3 linked regions of the Ovis aries genome follow. The protein of the gene in region 2 binds, or shares a complex with, the protein of the main gene of each other region. Links are inferred from orthologs where the notes say so. Each region holds a gene or a part of one and is shown on either strand. Other genes may lie near its edges. The genes, in order: INTS7, INTS6 and INTS12.

Region 1 (4,433 bases), on a different chromosome or scaffold from region 2:
CTTTTCTTAACATGCTAAAATAAGTCATGATTTTTCTCAAACTATACCTTAAACAAGCTATAGTTCTTACATTCTCCAATGTCTAACAGCCTTTTATTTCTATTGGTCCTACTTTTCTTAATTATTTTGTGCCATCAAATATTACATTTCATGTTTAACTCCAATAATAGTCTCATTTCACCTTAAAATGTTTAAATACCTCTAAGATGATAGTTAGGTGAGTGGATTAAAACTAGGGCTTCTATACTGTATAAACTAATATACACTTACACATTTATTTCAGTAATTTCATTAGTTCTTTGTGACCTTATCAGTGTTACCTCAGATTATAAAACTTGCAAAAGTACAGGAGCTCTGTCTGTTTAACTTTGCTTTACCTTATCTAGGATCATCATACATATCTATTACAGCTTAATAAATACTTTCAACTGATGGCAAAATAGGCCAAAATCAAATTTTAACTTCATCTGTCTTTCGGAATAATAACAGTCAAAATACTAGCTTTGAAAGTGAAGATCAAGGGCAAATATTTGTTTAAGCCAGAGGCTGACAAACTCTTGCACTTGGACCAAATCCTGCCTGTTTATGCAAATAAAATTTTACCAGAACATAGTCATACCATTAACCCTTCTCTTGAAAAAAAAAAAAAAAAAATTGTCCATGGCTATTTTTTCCCTATAATAGCAGAACTGAATAGTTGTGACAAAAAGTGCATTGTCTGCAAAGCTTAAAATATTTACTATCTGACCCTTTACAGAGAGACTGGCAATCTACACTTCTGGCAATGAAAACAGGCATTATATAAAAAGAGCTGATGTTTTTACCTTTAAAGTGGCTTGAGCACCTGGGCTATCATCTTGACTACAAAGCACCAGAAGGGATTCCAGGCCAAAGACAGCATCTTGTTCCAGTGCCAAAAGGTCTAGAGGAAAAATACTGTGTCTTTAATGGTCAAGTAGAGAAGATTACATACACACACACACAGATGCACACAGAAGAAAAAAACATTCAGGACAAGAAAATACCAAACAGCTTAGCTAAGAAAGATACTAAGTACAGCAAACCATGTATCGACATGGTGTGTGTCAAATCTTCCAAACTAGCCTAACATTATGCAGGTCCATTTTTACCTAGGATGCAACCTTCTCATTGAAGTAGAAATGCTTTCTAGAAATAATCAAGATCCCACTTCATCTTACTAGTGTTTTAAGTCAGATCATAAAGAAATGAACCCTCTAGATGTCTCATGTAATACCAGTACTATATCATCTTTTCACTACTTTTGAGCTAAAATTTCTCTGAAGTTCTGTGTGTGTGTGTGTGTGTGTGTGTGTGTGTGTGTGTATATAAAACCACATTTAGGTTAATATTAACATATGTCAACTTTGAGAATACAGAGCAATTTTCTGTGTTACATGGTAGATGATGCTTATTACTATGCCAAAAATTGAGTTATTGAAATCAGAATGAACAAACAACTTAAATGCCTTTTGAGTCAGTGTAAGAGCTTGGCAAACAATGTCTGGTGAAGATCAAGGTGCTGGGAAAACAAAGGTACTAGTCACAAGCAGTGCTGAAGCCTAGTGGGGATAAGAGGGACTGCTGATTCTTAACAAAGATCAAAATAAGCACTGAAACAGATGAAACATCCAGAACGCATTCCTGTTTTTGAACACCAGCATGAATTTGTTTAGGTCAAAAGATGTTAAGAATACAATAAAATATATGCATTATTTTCTATGCACATCCTTCTTGACTATGCAAGTCATTTAATGCTATAGATACATAGAGATAAATTCCATGACAGTTTAACTTACATTGCTCTGTTAATTCATTTTCCCCCAGGTGAAAACTATCTGTTACTTAAGCCTCTCAATAACTTTGTATGCTTTTTCTCCCCTAAATTTTCTAGTTTTTTTTTAAACAAGTGAACAAACTGATAATCACTGGATAGTTATAAGCAGCCTCTATCCATAGCATCATACGAGCAAAGGTAAAGCCATAGGAGGAGATGGGCAATGCTCCGTAAAACCTTTCAGTTCTGCACTCCCAATCCCAAGATCCTCATTTCGTTTTCCCAAAGAATTAGGTAGTTTTGAGAAAATATGCCCTAAGAACATTCAGGAGGAGGTGACTAATAGATAAAAGCACACAGCCTAAAAATAATAAGGGATTAAAAAATGAAATACAAACAGGACTCTGGTGAAACTCCAATCTGAAAGTTCATACATAGTATCAGTCTTGATCAAACTTACCTTTTTCTTGACAAGATACAGTTATATTAGTTAGGACTCTCACTCCATGAGCTGCAATGCCCCTGTTATTATGGTAACAGCACTCTTGGGCTAATTTGACTAAATCAGAGGATCTAGGGGACGAAGCCACATTTCCTAAGCAAGCAAAGAAAAGTAGGGCAGATTTAATTAATTTACACAGTTCAAAAGCAGTTCATTTTATAGGTTCATTTTTTATCATTTTCAAAAGAAAATCTCTAACAATGAATTTCAACAAAATTTTCTACCTCAACCCTATGCTCAATATACAAAACCATCCCTTTTTCTCCTGTTCACATACTTAGAATAAGTATATACTAAATAGTTTTCTAATGATTAAGATCTAAAATTAACATAATACTGCTGCTGCTGCTAAGTCGCTTCAACCATGTCCGACTCTGTGCGACCCCACAGACAGCAGCCCACCAGGCTCCCCATCCCTGGGATTCTCCAGACAAGAACACTGGAGTGGGTTGCCATTTCCTTCTCCAATGCAGGAAAGTGAAAAGTGAAAGGGAAGTCGCTCAGTCGTGTCCGACCCTCAGCGACCCCATGGACTGCAGCCTTCCAGGCTCCTCTGTCCATGGGATTTTCCAGGCTCCCCCCACTGAAATATTAATAAAAATTGACTAAGAAACACACCAAAAGCCAAGACTGTATCTTGGGCATTCAAACGGATTCTCATTAAAACAGAATCATTACAAGGCTTCTTGCCAGATTAAAAACCTTCCATTCAAGAGGAGAAAAGAGAAACAAAAATTTTAAGTTTGCTCAATTGCTGGCATGTAGTTATACTGCAAAAGGTTTATGTAAGAATTTATAATTTTAGAGCTACCAAGGACTTGGAGATCTTCTGATTCAATACTATTTTTACAGAAGAAATTGAAGCCTAAAGATCTTAAGCATCTTGCCACCGAGGTCATATAAACTTGTTAGTTATGCACCAGCTTTGTGCTTTATACGTTAAGTTCTATCCTACAGTTAAAAATCACACTTGAAATTCTGTAACATAAGGTTTATGCTGTGAATGTTTTTATTTATAGCAGAGAAGCTCTCAGTTATAGGTGAGTTTAGCATCAAGAAGAATCTGAAGATTAAAGCTAATTCAGCTTCTCAGCAGGGTCTTTCATTCCTGTCTTTCTTTGCCCTGTTTATTTTTCCATGATTCCTATCAACTATAACCTTTTACACTGAGGGCAATCACCCTTTTTGAGGTTTGAAGGGGACACTATTACTAATAACAACAGGCATAAACCAAGACTATCCCAGGTAGTCTGGGACATATGGTCACCTTACTGATTTCCAGTTTAACATGAAACTACTAGCGTAGGTAAGGCCTCAGTGTTTTTCTGATAGGCAAAACATGTGAAAGGATTTTTTTTCACAAAACAATGGAAATTGTAATTTTCTCCATTTTTTCCCTTGTACATGTAATATGGACAATGACAACTCATCTATAAATTCACAAATGTTTTTAACTTGTTTTTTCCTTTTTTTTTCTCACTGAGATGTCAAAGAAAACTTGGGGGAAAAAAAACAGGAAATAAAAAAGCCTCTAAACTCACAAACCAGCATAACCTTATTATTAGCTTTCTGTAGTACTTAAAAATCTTTTCCCTATGCATACAATTATAACTTTAAAATTCATAATCAGGATAAGTAGATACTGTCAATATTCTGCCTTTAAAATATAATATTTGTGAGCATTTTTCTGTGTCAATTGTTTCAGGGATAAAATTATTATTTTTAGTTTTTTTATTTAGAAATAATTTTGTAAGATAATTTACTTGGTTCGAAAAGTTCAACCAATAGTAGGAAAAAGGTAAAAAGTTACTGAGTGAAAAGTCTTCCTCAAACACCTAAGGTTATATCTCTTGTGTATCATTCTAAAGAGTCTACACATTTGTAAGCACAATCCTTTCTTTTTTCCTGTTTTAAACACTGCTGCGCATCCTGCTTTATTTCCCCCAGACATTATGTCATGGAGGTTATTCCATGCCATATATTCTTTTTAGTAAGCTGCACCGATTGCTACTGCAGTTTTGTATCTTAATTTCTTTAATGAGTTCCCTATTGATGGACCTTCTTATGCTACTCCATCTCCAATGATGGACAATATTTTGCTACTACATTAATGATGCTATGAATAACCATGTACAT
Region 2 (4,433 bases):
CTGACATTACTGTGTGGAGTATTTTTTACTGAGCGAAAGTGAAGTCGCTCAGTCATGTACGACTCCTAGCGACCCCATGGACTGCAGCCTACCAGGCTCCTCCGTCCTTGACCCCACAGACTAAGTTAAATCCTCTTGCCAAATACTTCCACAACAAGTATACTTGACTTCCCTTTTTGTAATATTCATCACACTTCTAAGGAAATGTGTGATGACTTTCTTCCCTCATTATAAATGAAGGCAGAGATCACTATTATCTGTTTATAGCTACATCTCAATGCCTAACCCTGTCTAAATTAAGCATCTCATTTAATAATTAGTTGCCGAATTAAACAAATTGAAAACCATCTTTCTGTGGGTATTGATAATGCCCCTTTAAAAACTGTCATTTCTAAACGCTAAAGATTTGCAAATGATATTTCAAATCATGATAGCTATTAAGCATAATGAATGAATATATGAAATGTTCATTAAAAAGACATAAAAAATGATTACATGATAATTTGGAATAAACAAATATCTTCTCTAGACACTCTTGGAACTTTATCCACTTTTTCTATATCAGAAAACTCTCTCCCATGAAGAACCAAACTAAAAGCAGCAAATACTGTTTAAAGAAAAACCCTTACTTTTATGAAGAGGAAGGGGTTTAATGAGGTCTGGCTGTGCTTGGGTCATAGGTGCCGGTGGTCCTTTCCCCCCGATGTGGTTGTTCACAACTGGGCTCTGCTGCCGGCCCCGCAGCAGTGGAGACATGCAGCGCCGTCTCTTAGGGATACCTTGCATACTTGGTTCTCCAGGTCGTTTATGTTTATTTTGAGGCCCAGCCACAAGTTCATCTGCCTCATCTATCATCATACCCTGTAACAACGAAGAATTTCCTGACTTTACATATGGTTTTCAGTTGTACGACAAACTCCAATTCCCATTAAAGTACATTTTAACGATGCTGACATTGTATCCTACCAAGAAAATAGTTTCGGCTTACTTTAGTTAAATTAAGAACTGTTAAATCTACTGTGCCTCCCACAAAAAAAAATTATATAATGAAACACTTCAAATTTACCTTTTTATCCAGCTTAAAGGGGTTGCCAAATGTATGCAACCTCCGAGGCTGATCAGGATCAAGTTCTCTTAATGGAGAAGGTACTTGCTTGAGGTATTCCTGGTAATTCCCCATTTGTGCTATAGGAACACTGTGCACTTGATCTTTTCAAACAGAACAAAGCAATAATAAAAGTTAACTTCACTAAAACTACCTTCCATTTAGTTAACAAATAATGTGTTCTTATGTATGAATGCAACCTGGTCTATTCTAGGCAACTTTTCCTTACCATATATTCTAAATTAGTTTGTTGCCATTATAAATATTGTGACAAAATCTTGAGTGCTTTTTAATAAAATTTTAAATAATCAATTTTATCTTCTAAACAAAGCAAAAATATTGCAGTTAGTTTCAGTATATAGAATAAACAGTATGTGTAACCCTTCTATGAAAATGTCTCTTCTATTCTACTCCAAAGCAGAATTTAGTTAAAGCATAATTTACAGAAAAGAGTATCACAGAGATGATCCTTTTCATATAAAACTGTAGTTGAAATGTAGAGTTGGCAAAGGGTTAAGTTCTCATCTGACTTGATTTGTAGGTGCCAAAGGTATAGTTAAGGAAATACTAGAATATGACATATATTGGCCATTCCAAGTTAACCTATCAGATACTAGTAGATCACAAGAAAATGATTTTGTGTGTGCCTGTGTATGTGAATGTATGAAGAAAGCCATAAGGAAACTAAGCTATTACCAAAGGTTGTTTCCTCTGGAGAACAGAATTCGGGGCAACAGTGATGGTAGAATTCACTTTCATTCAATGAGAGTGTAATATTACAGTCAACTCTTTAAAAGTTACAATAACACTCTGTATTTTCAATATAAAGAAAAGTTTACTGAAGAAACACCAATATTAAAACCATGATCTAACCTTCATCCTGTCCTTTAAGAAATCTGCGGGTGCTCTTCAAAAGATTAGATCTCATTCTTGTTAAGTGATCCAAAAGATTCCGTCTTGGTATGTCATATGCATTTCTAAACGTCTGTGGCTTCAAATCCTGTTTTAAAAAGATTCAAAGACAAAATGTATTTTGAAACAGAATTAAGAGACTACAATCTCTAGCCTGCAGCACAGCTTTGAAAATAAGATATACAAGTCAACTAATTAGCTTAGAAAAATAGAATAAAGAGATATGATACCATCGTAATGTACTGTTGTAATAACCAAAAGATAGTGAAGTGAAGCTCAACCGAATTATCTCAAATTCACATCTGTCCAAGATTTCATTATGTATTCTGGCTAACAGAAGTAAATAAAAGCTTTTATGTGTAATTTACATACCATTTACAACCCATTTTACATAAACAGTTTGAGCGCTAGTAAATGTTCAGTTGTGAAACCATCACTAGCATCAGTTTTAGAACATCCCCATCACTTCACAAGGGTCCATGTGCCCACTTGGCAGTCACTCGCAATTCCTATCCCCGCAACCACTAATCTGCTTTCTGTCTCTCTACATCCCATTTCATAAATGGAATCCTGCAATATGTAATCTTTTCTATCTGGCGTCTTTCCACAAGCATGTTTTTGAGATTCATCCATGTTGTCCATGTATTGGTAGTTTATTCCTTTTTACTGTCTTTTCCTTTTTACATGGATATACTATATCTTTATTCATTCACCAGTTGATGAACACTTGGACTGTTTTCAGTTTGGGGCAATTACTAATGCTGCTACGAATATTTGCATACAAGCCCTTTACACACACATATTTTCATTTATCTCAGTAGATACCTACAAGTAGAACTGTTGGTATATAGCAACATTTACCTTTCCTAAGAAACTGCAGATTAACTTGATAATTTTCATCAACAATGTGTAAGAGTTGCAGCTGTTCTATAACCTTACCAACATTTCATATTTTTCAGTCTTAAATTTTAGCCATTCTCAGTTCAGTAGTGGGCATAAAGTGGTATCTCACTGTGGTTTTAATTTGCATTTCCCCACTTGACTAATAATGTTGAACATCTTTTCGTGTGCTTGTTCAGGTCTGTATATCCTACCTGGTAAGGTGTCTACTCAAATATTTTGTGTATTTTTTTTTGGATGCTTATCTTTTTATAACCGAGTCTTAGTGTTCTTGCCTGGAGAATCCCAGGGACGGGGGAGCCTGGTGGGCTGCCGTCTCTGGGGTCGGACAGACTCGGACAGGACTGAAGCAACTTAGCAGCAGCAGCAGGATTTCTTTATATATTTTCATACAAGTTCTTTACTCAACATATGCTTTTCTCCTAGGCTGTAGCTTGTCTGGGAGAAACTTCAAAGTTTCTTCTGAAGACAAAAATTATAATTTTACTAAAGTTCAGTTTATGAAGTTATGTGTATGTGCTTTTTGTGTTGTATTTTAGAAATCTTCATTGACCCAAGATCCAACATCTTATAGATATTTTTCCTATAGAAGTTTATAGTTTCAGTTCTTACATTTATAACTATGATCACATTAACTAATATAAGGATCAAGTTCATTGTTTTGCAGATGGATAGCTAACTGTTCCCACCCTATCTGTTGAAAAGACTGTCTTCTTACCCACTAAATTATTCTGGCCATCTTTGTTAAAAATTAACTCTATATATGAAGGTCTACTTCTGTCCCACCGACCAAATATTTTTCCAGCAACACATATGTTATCACTGTAGCTTCATAGTAACTTTTAAAATTAGACAGTGCAAGTTTTTCAGCTTTGTTCTTTCGCAAAATTGTTTCAGCTACTCTAGGACCTATATACCTCCATATAAATTTTAGAACCAGTCTGTCAGTTGTGACAAACAGGCAACTAGGATGAAGATCTTTTTAATAATGAGATTCATAAAGCATTTCAGGATTATACTGTGTAGCCAAGGTCAGTAGTATAAGTACCAAACTACAGTGAATTCTACTATTAGCTATGTAACTTCAGGCAATCTCTAAGTCTGTTTTCTATCTATAAAATGAACATGATGGTTTGCTCTTCATCAGTCCATCTGCTAATCCACTCACCATGTACAGTGTTTTAAAATTCAATGATTCAATAATATTAATAGCATAATTGATCATTATTCTGCAGAGGTATAGAAGTTTGGACAAACTGGGTATCAGTTAATAGAAAATTTTACATATTTGACAATATAGACTATTACTAGAGCAGTACAAAATTCACTTAACTATTACCTTATTGAGCAAAGCAACCTGGAACCCAGTGTATTCTTTCATATTAAGGTCCAGCAGTCTGTGAGGAACATCCTCTGAAATTCCCTGGAGCAGCTGTTGAAAATCTTTCCTATAAGCCATTGATAAACCATGTGATCTGCTTCGGACTTTAATTCCAGTTTCCTGTACTACTTTTTT
Region 3 (3,775 bases), on a different chromosome or scaffold from region 2:
TGACACTAAAGGGGACTTGGAGTTGATGCCAAATTGATATTTAATCAACAGAACACTGAGTTTCTCAAAACAAAGACATATGCAGGCAGATTTTAAGCATGTAAAGAGATGTTTACTGTACTTTGTAAGTAAGAATTATTTCAAATTTGAGTTGTAACTTACCATGAATTCAGTGCTGCTATTTAACAAAGCAGTTTAAAACGTCTTTCCTTAAAAAAGGCCAAGCTTACTTAAAAATGTTTTAACTTCACAGAAAGCATTTACCAATATATTTTAGAACAATAATGTGAGGAAAATATAGGAATTATGGGCAAGAGTTTGAGTTCAGAAGTTTATAGTTTTAGTAGCATACCTCAAAGCTGAAGAAACAGGCTGCTCAAGTTTAGTGAATGTAGGAATTTGCTGGATGTCTAGTTTCTGAATGAAATGAGGTATTCATGAAGTATAGAATGACTGCTACATTTTGCTGTGAACAATGAACTATTTCTCTGATCCAGAAAGCCTTATGTCTTCTGTTAGAATAAGGTAACAACTGAAATCCCTCACAATTTCTGAGAGAAAAGTGAGAAAAGCATTGCACTGAAAGGGCATGGGGTTCACCATCGATTGGAAGAGATAAATGCCTAAGTAATTGATATGAGGTGATAAGATAAAAGCATAACACAAGAACATGAAAAATTACTTTTGAAAAGAAGAAGTTGAAATATTTGGGGGGAGAAGGAGAATCAATTGAAATGAGCCTGGGACTGACACTGAACATTCAGACTATGGTGGGCGAGGAGTGGGAAACTTTATTATCGGGCCATCCTTGTCTTCTTGTAAGGCACCTATTCAGCAAGATCAGTTATTGGGACGTTGTTAGAAGATGCTTTTTTTTTTTTTTAAAATCTGCAGATGCACCAGTCTTCTGGGATTTCAGAAGTTTTTATTAAGAATTAGTCATTCTAATCAGTTTTCACACACTATGAAAACTGTCAAAATAAAGATGTTAAAACAGATTTAAGATAAACATTTCTAAGTTTCACTAAATACTATTTAGCATTTTAAGGTAAGAAATAGTAGAAATTTCATTATGAAGATTTTTATTAAATTATAGTATATTACAGATTATATCGTCATAAGATTTTAATCTTTAGGGTAGTATGATATAAAAACCTACTTGGCCACATTACTTCTTGAGTTTCTTTTGGGCAGCCTTCTTCTTGACCATTTGTAATCGCTTCATGGCATTGAGTTGTGATTCTTGTGAAGTTGGACCTTTAAGGGATGCCGATGGAGAGGTGCTCGATTCAGAAGTGGTTTTGTTAGTGGTACTTCCACTAGGCCCTGATGTGCCACTATTTCCATTCCCACTGAGTTGGCTGCTGCTTCCTGGAACCAAACTACTTGGACTGGGAAGACCTACTTTGCTAACATTGTCACAACTAACTGAGCGACTAAGGCCAGTTTTGCCTAGAGTGAGAGGTGGAGGTGGTTTCAATGGTACAGTGGGTGAAGTGCTGTTATTGGAACCTATTTTGGAACCTATTCCCCCTTTGGATGTTGTTGCCAGACCAGTCAAACCCACGGGCTTCTGGTTAGCAGAAGAGGTAGCAGGTTTCCCGCTATTGTTTTGGGCTGCTGAACTCAATTTTGCTGTTGATGGACCAGCAGAAGTGGTTTTCGCTGCAAAAGCTGCCCATCCAATTAGGCCACTAGTTGCTGAAGAGGAAACATTGGTGCTAGAAGAATTTCCTGAAACAACCGTGGATGCCTAAAAAATATAAGATAAATATTAGAGGAAAGTATAATTAATACCTAATATTCTTAAATACAAAAGAAGATTAATGGTTAAGACTTTTTATAAAACTAATGATCTTGGAAATTTAAATCATCAAAATTAAGTTCTGATAAACTGATATGACAAAGCACATAGAAGAAAACCTATCCATAGCTAACGGTGCTACCATTTCCAAAGCAGGAGTTATGGTATGTCATATTCTTATTCTAATCATTTCAGAAAAAAATTTCCTTTTTGAGGACTGCTTCTAGATTCAGCCACAAGCCACATCAGAAAATCAGATTTAATGCTTTAAGTTGTTTTTCATGCAAAAAGGTTATTATTTAGCTGTAAAACTTCTAATTCTTTAGACCTACTCCAAATGACTTGTGGATCAATTCAAAAACAGAATCCACTCTTAATGGACAAAAATTCTTATGCCCAGGATACTTAGATGTCTGAGATGAGATTCTGAACCTATTTAAAAGAAAAATTCCCCCTAAATTTTGAGCAAATACTTGCATATATACAAGTATACTGCATTAACTACATGAAATTGTACAACGGGTGATATACTAAAAACATTTCATAACTTTATTTTCCCAATTTGTCCATGTTTCCACTGAAACTATCACAAAGAGGTCCCTGTTTCAATATAAAGGATTTTTTATAAACTGCCTCAATAAGCCGTATAGTGACATTTTGGGTATGCCTGACTCATTCCCAGATTTATTCCTTAAAGGTGTAACACATATTACATTTCTCTAAGTAACTTCCTTGGACAGTCAAAAGCTAACAGAGTACCAATGTCACTACATAAATACTGTTCTTTTTCATACAAAACAATATTTTTCACATTAACATTTAGGGGAAAATGCACTTTGTTCAAATTGATTGTGAAATGAATTTTTCTATCTTATTTTCATGGGTCACGAAAGTGTTAAATATGTAAAAGATAAAAATCTTACAAATAGTATCTTACTTAATATGCTAGTTATCATGCTTAGAATACACCCAATTATATTTTAGAACTGAACTCCGAATGAATTGATAAAAACGTTTTTAATTCTTACAAAGTAGTCTTCAATGTTGTCTGCACGAAACATTATAAACCAATGAGAAGAATACTGAAAATAGAGTGCTCTGAGGTCTTTAGAAGAGGAAGGTCCAGATTATTTTTCACATACTGTGAAAAGTGATAGGATTTTTTACAGTTACATCATATAATGACTATCTCATAAGGTTATGCAAAGAAGATAAACTTTACATAAACTGCAAATTCCTAGAGAAATGCATATATTTAATGAGAAAAATTTAGTCAAGGTAGCAAAGGACACAGGTATAGTAAACTTAATTTTCAATTATAAAAGATGTTATTTTTTCCTTTTCTTTCTAATAAATATAAAACTGCCTGCCATTTGACTAAATGATCTTTCAACAAACTTTACAAAAGAAAACCCATCTGAAGTAATCAAAAAGACCCAAAACTTATGAAGTACAAAGCAAGTTCCGTGTATATGACATTTTATTTTAATGGTTTGCTGTTACTGGTATTGCTTTTCAATTTATTGAATTTCATACTAAACATTTATTCTATTTTATCATAAAAATATCAAACCTCTTAATCAGAACAAACATGACAGCCAAAGCCTTAATTTATTTGCTGCAAAATAATTTCATATTGAGTTTCCTAAAAATAAGCCTTGGTAGTAATAGGTTGGAGAAGGCGATGGTACCCCACTCCAGTACTCTTGCCTGGAAAATCCCATGGATAGAGGAGCCTGGTAGGCTGTAGTCCATGGGGTCGCAAAGAGTTGGACACGACTGAGCGACTTCACTTTCACTTTTCACTTTCATGCATTGGACAAGGAAATGGCAACCCACTCCAGTGTTCTTGCCTGGAGAATCCCAGGGACAGGGGAGCCTGGTGGGCTGCCGTCTATGGGGTCGCACAGAGTTGGACACGACGAAAGCAACTTAGCAGCAGCAGTAATAGGTTAGTATAAAAATCTATCT

What was found.
Region 1: INTS6 (region 2) and INTS7 share a complex: the UniProt entries of both Homo sapiens proteins name them as parts of the integrator complex. The link is inferred for Ovis aries from reciprocal best matches to the Homo sapiens genes INTS6 and INTS7.
Region 3: INTS6 (region 2) and INTS12 share a complex: the UniProt entries of both Homo sapiens proteins name them as parts of the integrator complex. The link is inferred for Ovis aries from reciprocal best matches to the Homo sapiens genes INTS6 and INTS12.

The regions. Positions count from the first base shown.
Region 1 is NC_056065.1:70,997,646-71,002,078, reverse strand, and holds part of INTS7 (integrator complex subunit 7), read right to left. Parts: intron 2,391-4,433; coding exon 2,256-2,390; intron 923-2,255; coding exon 825-922; intron 1-824. UniProt on the Homo sapiens protein: Component of the integrator complex, a multiprotein complex that terminates RNA polymerase II (Pol II) transcription in the promoter-proximal region of genes.
Region 2 is NC_056063.1:21,148,318-21,152,750, forward strand, and holds part of INTS6 (integrator complex subunit 6), read right to left. Parts: coding exon 4,257-4,433; intron 2,106-4,256; coding exon 1,979-2,105; intron 1,210-1,978; coding exon 1,067-1,209; intron 862-1,066; coding exon 630-861; intron 1-629. UniProt on the Homo sapiens protein: Component of the integrator complex, a multiprotein complex that terminates RNA polymerase II (Pol II) transcription in the promoter-proximal region of genes.
Region 3 is NC_056059.1:19,866,239-19,870,013, reverse strand, and holds the end of INTS12 (integrator complex subunit 12), read right to left. Parts: intron 1,754-3,775; coding exon 1,169-1,753; 3' UTR 1,066-1,168; downstream 1-1,065. UniProt on the Homo sapiens protein: Component of the integrator complex, a multiprotein complex that terminates RNA polymerase II (Pol II) transcription in the promoter-proximal region of genes.